Macaca mulatta: one gene and its partner. The protein of the gene in region 2 purifies or fractionates together with the protein of the main gene of each other region. This does not show direct contact. Links are inferred from orthologs where the notes say so. Each region holds a gene or a part of one and is shown on either strand. Other genes may lie near its edges.

Region 1 (5,024 bases), on a different chromosome or scaffold from region 2:
CACTGACAGCCTATATGTGTTTCCTGAGCAGAAGTAATTGAAAGTTAGAGTACCTAATATAGCTCTATAAACAGTTTTATTCAAAAGCATTATTCTGTGCTTTCCAATCGAAACAACTAGGCAATTCCAAGCAACATTAAATACTAACTGCACACACGTTAACTAGAAATACACCAATTTAGAGTTACAATGATGTATATGTTAACATAAATGAGTTTAAATACTTGTAAAATATATTGATATTTCATTAAAACACCACCTTCTAAGTTCATTCTTCTCTATAACTGAAAATTTATACTTTTGTGCAAACTGAGTTCCTAAGAGAATAATGTAGTTTGTAATCACAATTTCCAAAGAGCCAAAATATAACTTTGAAAACATGTCTATGTTATAGCACACAGCTCCTGTTTAGATTTGGAAAGGTCAGATCTCATAAAATGTGACCTCCACACATGCTGAGAAGAGCTTCCTCCAGGGAAACCCACCAGTAATGCCTGGTGGAGAGAGGCGGCTGCACAACGGCCCACAGGGCCCCAGCCCTCAGACTAATCTCCTTCTGGGAACCAGGGCAGAGGCCAGTGGGACAACACCTTCCCAGCAAAACCAACTTTCTCTCTGTTTCCTCCTCCCAGTCACACTCACAGGTGGTGCACCAAGTTGAACCTGACAGTGGAACTGTGTGGGTTTCAACATCCAGTGATCAGAAAGGAACGGTAAACAAGCTGGATGCAGTGGCTCACGCCTGTAATCCCAGCACTTTGGGAGGCCGAGGCAGGTGGATCACCTGAGGTCAGGAGTACGAGACCAGCCTGGCCAACACCGTGAAACCCCATCTCTACTAAAAATACAAAAATTAGCCGGGCATGGAGGCGCGTGCCTGTAGTTCCAGCTACTCAGGAGTTTGAGGCAGGAGAATTACTTGGACCCAGGAGGTGGAGGTTGCAGTGACCCGAGATCGTGCCACTGCACTCCAGCGTGGGCAACAGAGCAAGACTCCGTCTCCAAAATAAAGGAAAGAAACTGGAAACAAAATATTCAGATTTTAACATGCACCAAAGAACTCACTTTCAAAGCAATGGTGAAGTCAATTAATTATTCAGTTGGAAATCATGTCACTGACAAAGGATGCTAGAAAGTAAATATTCTTAATTTACTGATACTATAACTAACCAAGAATGGTAGTTCCCACGGAAATAAAGCATCACAGGCTGTCCTTGATCTCAGGGCCTCTTTCTACTGCTGCTCTCACAAGATAGTGTGTAACATTTCACTACAGAGCAACTCAATAGAAGCCCTCTAAAGAATACTGCAACTTAAATTTTATTTGTAAACAAAATTCCAAATTCCAGTTACCAATCTGGCAGAGCAGGAGGCCTCACTGTGGAACACTTTCATTTGTTTCTTCGTATAAATATCAGCTTTATCAGCCCCAAAGATTAGAAATTACTGGTTCAAACTGAACAGTCCTAGCCCCGTGACGCAAATGACCCAAGGATAAGGTTTTCATAGGTCTGGCCTGAACATACGCATTTCCTCCTCCTACTCAGTGGTTTTAGGTGAGATAGTCTGAGGGTCTTGACAGCACACCGCTGTTAGGCAGAGATGAAGCAAAAGGGTTTCACTCTGCGCTTTTACCTGTCTTTAGGATCCTAATTATCGTTAAATGGTTTAACCAAATTTTTGTCCTAAAAAAGCATAATCGGTTAGCTGACCAATGATTAAAATACAGATCCCGAACTAACTAGAGAAGGCATGCAAAAATCAGATGAGAAAGTTTTTAAGTGATAGCTCCAACTACCCCTCCAAATATCACAAAGGTCTAGCAGAACTGGAATTTAAAAAGAAACAAAAAAAAAGTCCTCTTGCACGGTTTATTTAAAATAAAGCCTTAACCTTAAAATCCCCTTGAAGGTGTTACAGCAAAGTGGGTGTTCAGGCTATGGCCAACAAGGGGATGTAGACAGGCTGTCACCCAGGAGGGGCCGTTAGTGCTGGGCTCGCTGGAGATGCAAGGGGGTCCCATGGGGCAGTGGGCGAGGCAGACGCAGAAAGCACACCCAGCTGCCCCCACAACGCAGAGGAGCGTGGGGTGGGGAAAGTGAACTAATTCCACGCTGCCTCTGGACCCTAAAGGCGAGGTGCAGGGGCGGGGGCGGGGGCGGATATCCCAGGGAGTGCTGCAGGAAATGATATCCAGACTCGGAGGGTGGATCTAGGAAGCGGCCAGGGCGAGGGCCCGGCAGGGGGGAGGGGGTGGGAGTGGGAACGTAGGATGTGGCTCCGAGGGGCAGGATGAGGGGGCGGGACGATCGAACGCGGATGTCCAGGCTGGGGAGGGCAATGAGGGATGAAGAGCTAGCGGAGGGACGAGGGCGCACGGAGCGGCTGGAGAAAGATGGGCAGCGGGCCCGGGGGCGCTGCCGGGGCGAGAGGAGGCGAAGCCCACCGGCTGGGTGGGCAGGAGGGCGGCAGGGTCTGCCCGGGCGGGCGTGGGGGTGCGCGGGAGGGGGCGCAGGGGTCGCAGGGCCGCAGGTCCGGCCCGGCCGGCGTGCACTTACCCCACTCGAGGAACTCGGCCACGTACTTGTCGCGGCGCAGGGCCGAGTGGCTGCACTCGGTGTACAGGCAGACGAGCACGTCAAGCAGCGTCTCCACGCTCAGGGCGCTCTCGTTGCGCCAGGGCCCGTCCAGGAGCAGCTGCTCCAGCTTCTTGAGCCGCACCTTGGCCGACATGGTGCCGCGCGGCCCGCTCCCGACGCGCCGGCCTCTCGCAGCCCGCTCGGCCAGTCCGTCAGGGCGCGCCCTCGGGGGCTCGGCGGCCGCGAGCCCCGGCAGCAGCGGCGCCTCCTCGCCGCCCCGTCCGCGTCGTCGCGCCCCGGCCTAGGCCGACATCTTGGGCTCCGTCCCGGCGGCGCAGAGTCTGGGGCGCCGGGCCCCGCGGGTCCATGGGCCGCTCTCCTCCCCTCGGTGCCGCCGCCCTCCCCGCTCGGGCGGCCCGCCCCCGCCTCGCCGCGCCCCCGCCGTCCACCGCCCTCAGCCCCGCCTGCGGCCGCGCCCTCCCCGCCGCCGCCGCCGCCGCAGACTAGGAGCGGCGAGGAGCCTAGCGCTGCGCAAGCCCGGCCGGCGCCCGAGCCCCGACCCCAGCCCCGACCCGGCGGCCCAGCCCCGCGGCCCGCAGCCAACCAGGGCGCGGCCAGCACCGGCGCAGCCAACCACTGCGGGGCCGGCCACTGCCGCGCTGACCTCAGCGCGCCGCCCCGCCCCGCGCCCGGCTCCCAGCTCCCGGCGGGCTCGGGCCTCGCCGCTTGCCGTAGGGAGCCGGGATGCTGGGAAGGCAGGGCCGGGCCCGGGGAGCGGCGCGGGGGGGACGGGAGGGGCGGGGCGAGTGCGCCGCCGAGATTGCGGGGTCCGCGCATGCGCAGAGCGCGCCCCGGTGGGCGTGTGCGCCTTCGCCCAGCGGACCCGGTTCCCTCGGTGTTTGGGGTCCGACCGCGCGCGTTGCGGATCCTGGGGCCGAAGACGACCCCAAGTATCGAAGAAGCAGAATCGCGATCTCAGGCCGTCGGGCCCCGTCCCACAGTCCCCGCGGGCCCATGTTGCCTGGGGGTCTCGGACCGGCCCGGCCGAGGTGGGTGTCGAGGGCCGCCCGGCAGGCGCAGCTCTGATGGCCTCGGCGGGGCTATTTAAAACGGCTTGTCCCAGCTCGAATTGGTCCTAGAAGACTCGGGTCCTACCCCTGACTTTACCGACGAGAGATCGAAGCCCAGACGGTGTGGGGTCAGGGCCCAGGCTTGTGGGGGCTGCTGCCAAGGCGGGAGCCAGCGTCCCCAGTGCCCGGTGGATTCGTGATGGCTTGCAGAGGGTTTCAGTTTCCACTGTCCAGCCCTCCCTGCAGACCAATACCTGGGTGTGACAGTTTGGTTGCGGGGCGGATATTTGTCTCCAGGCTGGGTTTGCCTGGCGAGTCGCTGTATTTACTAAGATTGTTGGTTAATTTGGGTGGCTGGGGGAGGGAGGTTGATGGAGATACCCCCCACCCCAACAAACCCTTGGCGTCAGGAGAGGAGGGGCTATTCCTGAAGCTTGCGGAAGGTCACCGAAATCGTGGGGGTGGGTGAGAGCTTCTGGGGCGCGCGAGTACAGGGGAAGGGGTGGAGCCGATGAAGGGGCAGATAGGGGTTTGAAGCCGGAGGCTAAGGGAGCCTGAAGCATAATTAATCTCTGGAGCTAAAAACAGGAAAGGGCCCGGCGCGGTGGCTCACACCTGTAATCCCAGCACTTTGATAGGCCGAGGGGGCGGATTGCCTGAGCTCAGGAGTTCGAGACCAGCCTGGGCAACACGGTGACACCCCGTCTCTACTAAAATACAAAAAATTAGCCGGGCGTGGTGGCGCGCGCCTGTAGTCCCAGCTACTCGAGCGGCTAAGGCAGGAGAATTGCTTGAACCCGGGAGGCGAAGGTTGCAGTGAGCCAAGATCGCTCCACTGCACTTCAGCATGGGCAACAGAGCGAGACTCCGCCTTAATAATAATAATAAGAAGAAGAAGAAGAGTGGCTGCCTATGCCGGAGTTGTTGACCGGAACAGGGCGAGGAACCTTCTGGGCTGCTGGTAATGTTCTATGCCTGGATTTGGGTAGTAGTTACATGGGAGTACACATAAGTAAACATTCTTCACATTGTCTTCTTAAGATCAGTGCATGTCACTGTGTGAATATGTATATAATACCTTCATTTCTTAAAGGCAGGTGAAAACAATCTGGTGTTAGAGGTGCGAGTACTGGTCGCCTTTGGGGTATGAACTGGAAGCAGACACAAGGAGAGGCCTCTGGGGGGCTGGGTACATTCTGTATCTTCATCAGAGCCATCTTGTAATGTGGGTCTGTAAAAGTGTATAAATTCATCAAACTATTCTAAATATTTGCATGTTACTGTATGTGTATGAAACCTTAATTAAAAGTTGTTTTAAAAAGTCTGAGCAGATCACCTGGCTCAAAATCAAAGACTTCCCACTGGTTTTAGAATA
Region 2 (5,084 bases):
GAAATCCTAGTTGGAGCTCCTAGAGCAGGGACTATCAGAATATTGTTACTACAAAGGTTCTTACGATCATCTGGTTCCACAGTCCCCATCTCCCTCTACTCCCTCCACCAAGAGGAAGAAAAACTGAGGCCAGGAGAGAGAAAGAGTACTGCTCAAGACCACAAAACGTTTCAGAAGCAGAGCCAAGACTTGAACCCGTGCCTTCTTCCTCGCCTAAAGCTTCTTCTCAGACTGCCTCTGTGGAGGTGGGTTGTCATAGCAACAGTTCTTTGGGTGGGAGAACTAAGAAGAGGTTGCCACTGTTTCCCATTCCCACATATCCCAGTCTGGCTTGTTCACTCAACCTTTGAATGGTGGGTAGAGGAAGAAAGCAGGAGGGATGAGGCCTAGAGGCGGACTGACCTTGGCCTCAAGGGTAGGCCTCCCTGCTTTGTGCAAGGAAAGCTGGGAGAGGAACAATTGAAGGACAGTCCTTAGAGGGCTTGAACCAGTCCTGCCTTCATTAGCCCCAAGGGAAACCCCTTGCCCCACTGCTTGTCCTTCCTGGGTGCAACCCAGTAGGCAGGGCAGAGCACAGGAAGAGATTAATATTAATAACATCCTGTCCTGAGGAGGGAGAAAAATAGGATGGGGATCTCTCCTCGTTCTGGCCCCAGAAGGCTCCCTCCCTTGTGCCCTTTCTCGGGCAGCCTCAGGCCCCAGGCAAGCAGGGTCAAGAATACAGAGAGACAAAATCAAAAGTTAAATGCAGCCCCTTAAAGTTTACAGATCGTTTCCACCAAGGCAGAAAAGAGAGCCAGAGAGACTAGGCGTGGCTCTTCCACTGACTCCCTATGTGAGTTCAGAATCTGCAAGCATGTTTTATCTGTAAGATGGGAGAAATGATGACCAGTTTTCTCATTTCAATGACATAAAATGTGTTTAGACTATCTGGCACAAAGCAGGTCTCAAAGGTAAACATGCAAAGTGCAGTCAGATGATCTGGGTTCAAATCATGGCCATGCTTTTTGTGTGATCTTGGGCAGTTATTAAACTCCCTGTGCCTCTGTTTTCTTTTCTCTTTTCTTTTATCCTCCCTCCCTCCCTTCCTCCCTTCTTCCCTTCCTTCCCTCCTTCCCTCTCTTTTTTTGAGACAGGGTCTAGCTCTGAGCTCTGTCACCCAGTCTGGAGTGCAGTGGTGCGATTTCAGCTCACTGCAACCTCCTCTTCCTGGGCTCAAGTGATCCCCCTGCCTCTGCCTCCAGAGTAGCTGGGACTACAGGCATGCACCACAACACCCATCTAATTTTTGCAGAGACAGAGTCTTGCTTTGTTGCCCAGGCTGGTCTCAAACTCCTGGGCTCAAGTGATCTGCCTGCCTCAGCCTCCCAAAGTGCTGGGATTACAGGCGTGAGCCACCATGCCCACCCTGTGCCTCAGTTTCTTCATCTATAAAATATCACTTACTTAACATGGTTACTGTGGAGATGAAGAGAGTATCAAGTAAAGTGCTCAGCAAGCTGCCTGGCACATGTGCTGGGTGAAAGTTAGTTTTCAAAGCAACTAGACAGTCTAGGTAGGCTCTTACTAGGCCTTGAGCTAAAGTTTGTACAGCGAGACAAAGGCAAACCCCTGCTTAGGTGGGGACAGTCACAGCCTTGCTCTGGAGAATTTGGCACTCACCTCCAACCTTCAAGGCCAAGTGCACACTTGGCATTCAAGTCCTTCTCCCAGAGGGCCTTTCCTGGCTGCTCCACCCACCAGACTCTCTTCCCAGTCTCTCAGCTCAGGCATTAGAGCCCTGGCTGGTCTAAGAGCCCCCATGACTTCCTTCCCCTGCTCCTTCACAGACCAGCTTGGCACAGGCTGCGCACACAGTGGGGGTCCAGAAAGACTTATTAGCTGACATATTCACTGTGGGCTCCTGGTTGTAAGCCAGGAAGCTGATAGCAATTCCTCAGTTCCCCAGAACTGGCTGCAAAGTAGTGGCAGGTGTAAATCACCCACTTCACCGGAATCAGGGCCCTGAGGAACATGCCAGGGCCTTGGCTGCCCTTTTGGCTCTGAATCTAGACCAGCAGCAACAGAGAAAGGGGAAGGTTGCTGTTTCCTCTTCTCCCCAAGAATGTGCAGATGAGATCCAAATATCCAGTTTACCTGGGAGATTGGATGGGAGGAGACTGAGTCTGAGGTGAGGGAATCAGCACCAATGGTGCTGTTACTCTCTGTTCCTGCTATGGGTCTAGGAACTTTCCATTATTTTAAGTAGGGCTGGGGGATGTAGAGGAAATGGAGAAGGTTTTCAGTGCCCCTGGTCCAGACAGTTTACAGCAGATAGGCCCCTTTACCCACATCTTTTCTGTGCTGAACACTGCGGGCCTCACGGGAACTAAACCCTTTCCCGGTTAGCAGAAGGAGAAAAAACCGGTTGCCTTACAACGGGGACTGGGGGGGAATAGGTGGCCCATACGGGCGGGGGGAATTTGTGCTGCGTTGGGTTCTCAGTACTTCCCAGTACTCATCTCTCTCCTCCCAATTATTTGGCAGGAATAACTTCCAAAACCCACGGCTCCCACCCCAATTCCTCAGGACCTATCAACACCCCCACTCACTCTTGGGGGACAATTAATGGATGTCACTCCATCTCCACCCCAGCGTTTACGGATTGATCTGGGAGGGATTCTGAGCAGTTAGGTGGAGAGTTTTAACTACCTCCTCTCCAGCTTAACTCTGAGAGCATGAGTTCGTCCCTCCTGGCCCTAAACTGGGGACTCGTCCCCTTGGCCCATGGAGTCTGCACTCACCAGCTCCATCTTCAGCGCCATGATCTTGTCCCCCAAGTCGTGGCCGGTGCTAGGCGTCCCTGGGAGCAGCAGGGCGCCAGAGGTTCCTAGGTCACACTCGCCTCGCAGCCCACGGAGCAGCCCTTCAGGGGTCTTCCTGCCCACCTTACCCTCCACATCCCGCAGGTCAGGCGTCTGGGACTCCACGGTTCCCTCCATGCGGGCCCAAGCCTGAAAAGGGCTGGGCAACCGGACGCCAGGGACCGGCTCGCGGGGGTCCTCCCTTCGCCGCTGCTAAAGCGGAGCAAAACCGGTGGGTCCCCGCCCGAGAGCCGCGCGGGCGGCAGGAGGGTGCCGTAACACTCAGAAAAGCCGCGCAGCACTGTCCGTGGGTATATTCGAGTGCTGCGCACACAACCTCCGGCCCTGGATTGCGTGGGGCTGGGCGGTTCTGGAGTTGGACCTGAAAGAGCACTCGGAGACCTCAGCGCCTTCGCCCCACCCTGGCACTGAATCCAGCCAGGCACACAGCAGGCGCCCAATACATGTTTGCAGAATGAAGTCTAAGCAGCTTCAGTCAGAGATGTGGGAGTTTAAGGAACAGTGGTAACAGAGAGCTGCAGAAGGCTTGGAAGTCTTCCTGGAGCAGAGGAATTGGGTCTAAAACGATGGCTGGATTTTAGTCAGACACACACACAACACCCCAGGGGCTAGAATTCAGACTAACGGAGTAGAAAGGGGCAACCAGTATTGAAGCTGAAGAGGTCCACATTGAGCTTACAAGCAAGATCCTCCTCCTTAAACTTGACTGTGCATATGAATTATCTGCGGATCGTATTAAAATGCAGTTCTGATTTTGTAAATCGGGGTGGGGCCTGAGATCCTGCCTTTTTTTTTTTTTTTTTTTTTTTTGAGACAGAGTCTTGCTCTGTTGCCCAGGATGGAGTGCAGTGGCACGATCTCGGCTCACTGCAAACCACTGCCTTCCCCGGTTCCAGCGATTCTCCTGCCTCTGCCTCCTGAGTAGCTGGGATTACAGGCATGCACCGCCACGCCCAGCTAATATTTTTGTATTTTTAGTAGAGACGGGGTTTCACCATGTTGGCCAGGCTGGTCTTGAACTCCAGATCTCAAGTGATCTGCCTGTCTCGGCTTCCCAAAGTACTGGGATTACAGGTGTGAGCCACTGGGCCCCGCCAAGATCCTGCATTTCTAATAAGCTCCCAGGTCATGGCCATGCTGCTGGTCCACGCTTCAAGTAATAAGGGACCACACTTTGATAACAAGGTTACAGAAGATGGTTCTGAGATGTTTGGGTTTTATTTAACAGGTAATGAACAGTCATGAAAACTTTGGTTTGTGTAGGCTTGTAATTCAAGTAATTCCAGCCCGTGGTTGCAGAAGGATTTACAATGAGAAGATAGTTACCCCTGCCCTACCCTTTCACACCTCTAGGCCCACTCCCAATTGGCAAAAAGTAACTTTTAGTTTTTGGGGGGTTTTTTGTTTTTTGTTTTTTTTGGTGTTCATACCCGTAATGTTATTGTTTAGAGTTAACTAAAAGTGATTGCCAACTGGGAGTGGGCCTAGAGGTGTGAAAGGGTAGGGTAGGAGTAAATATTTTCTTATTGTAAATCCTACCACTCCTTTTTTTTTTTTTTCTTTCTTAGAGACAGAGTCTTCCTGTGTTGCCCAGGCTGGACTCAACTCCTGGGCTCAAGCAATCCTCCTGCCTGCCAAGCAACTGTGACTACAGGAGTATGCCACCATGCCCAGCCACACTGCTTCTCAATTTTAAACATTCAACTGCTGTTTATTATCATATTCAGATAAATATGGATATATGGGTTTAACTCACACTCTGTAGTTCGTTTCCCCTACTGGCACTATTTATTTCTCTCTTTTTTTTTTTTTTTTGTCACCCAGGCTGGGGTGCAGTGGCACAATCTTGACTCACTGCAATCTCCCCTCCCGGGTTCAAGCGATTCTCCTGCTTCAGCCTCCTGAGTAGCAGGGATTACAGGCACGTGCCACCACGCCCAACTAATTTTTGTATTTTTAGCAGAGATGGGGGGGGGTTTCACCATGTTGGTCAGGCTGGTCTTGAACTCTTGACCTCGTGATCTGCCTGCCTCGGCTTCCCAAAGTGCTGGGATTACAAGCGTGAGCCACTGCGCCTGGCCTGGCACTACATATTTCTATCACTCTTTTTAGTTCATCTAATGGTTACCTTTGTAATTAATTTTTTTAAAATTATGTAGATAGAGTCTCGCTATGTTGCCAGCCTGGTCTTCAACTCCTGGCCTCAAGCAATTCTCCCAC

What was found. The genes of interacting proteins can lie anywhere in the genome.
Region 1: the proteins of LURAP1 (region 2) and CDC42BPB purify together in Homo sapiens (co-immunoprecipitation; 3 studies listed by BioGRID and IntAct, with this or other methods). This does not show direct contact. The link is inferred for Macaca mulatta from reciprocal best matches to the Homo sapiens genes LURAP1 and CDC42BPB.

Annotation. Positions count from the first base shown.
Region 1 is NC_133412.1:176,460,930-176,465,953, forward strand, and holds the start of CDC42BPB (serine/threonine-protein kinase MRCK beta), read right to left. Parts: upstream 3,113-5,024; 5' UTR 2,734-3,112; coding exon 2,559-2,733; intron 1-2,558. UniProt on the Homo sapiens protein: Serine/threonine-protein kinase which is an important downstream effector of CDC42 and plays a role in the regulation of cytoskeleton reorganization and cell migration. Regulates actin cytoskeletal reorganization via phosphorylation of PPP1R12C and MYL9/MLC2.
Region 2 is NC_133406.1:194,374,119-194,379,202, forward strand, and holds the start of LURAP1 (leucine rich adaptor protein 1), read right to left. Parts: upstream 3,048-5,084; 5' UTR 2,982-3,047; coding exon 2,784-2,981; intron 1-2,783. UniProt on the Homo sapiens protein: Acts as an activator of the canonical NF-kappa-B pathway and drive the production of pro-inflammatory cytokines. Promotes the antigen (Ag)-presenting and priming function of dendritic cells via the canonical NF-kappa-B pathway.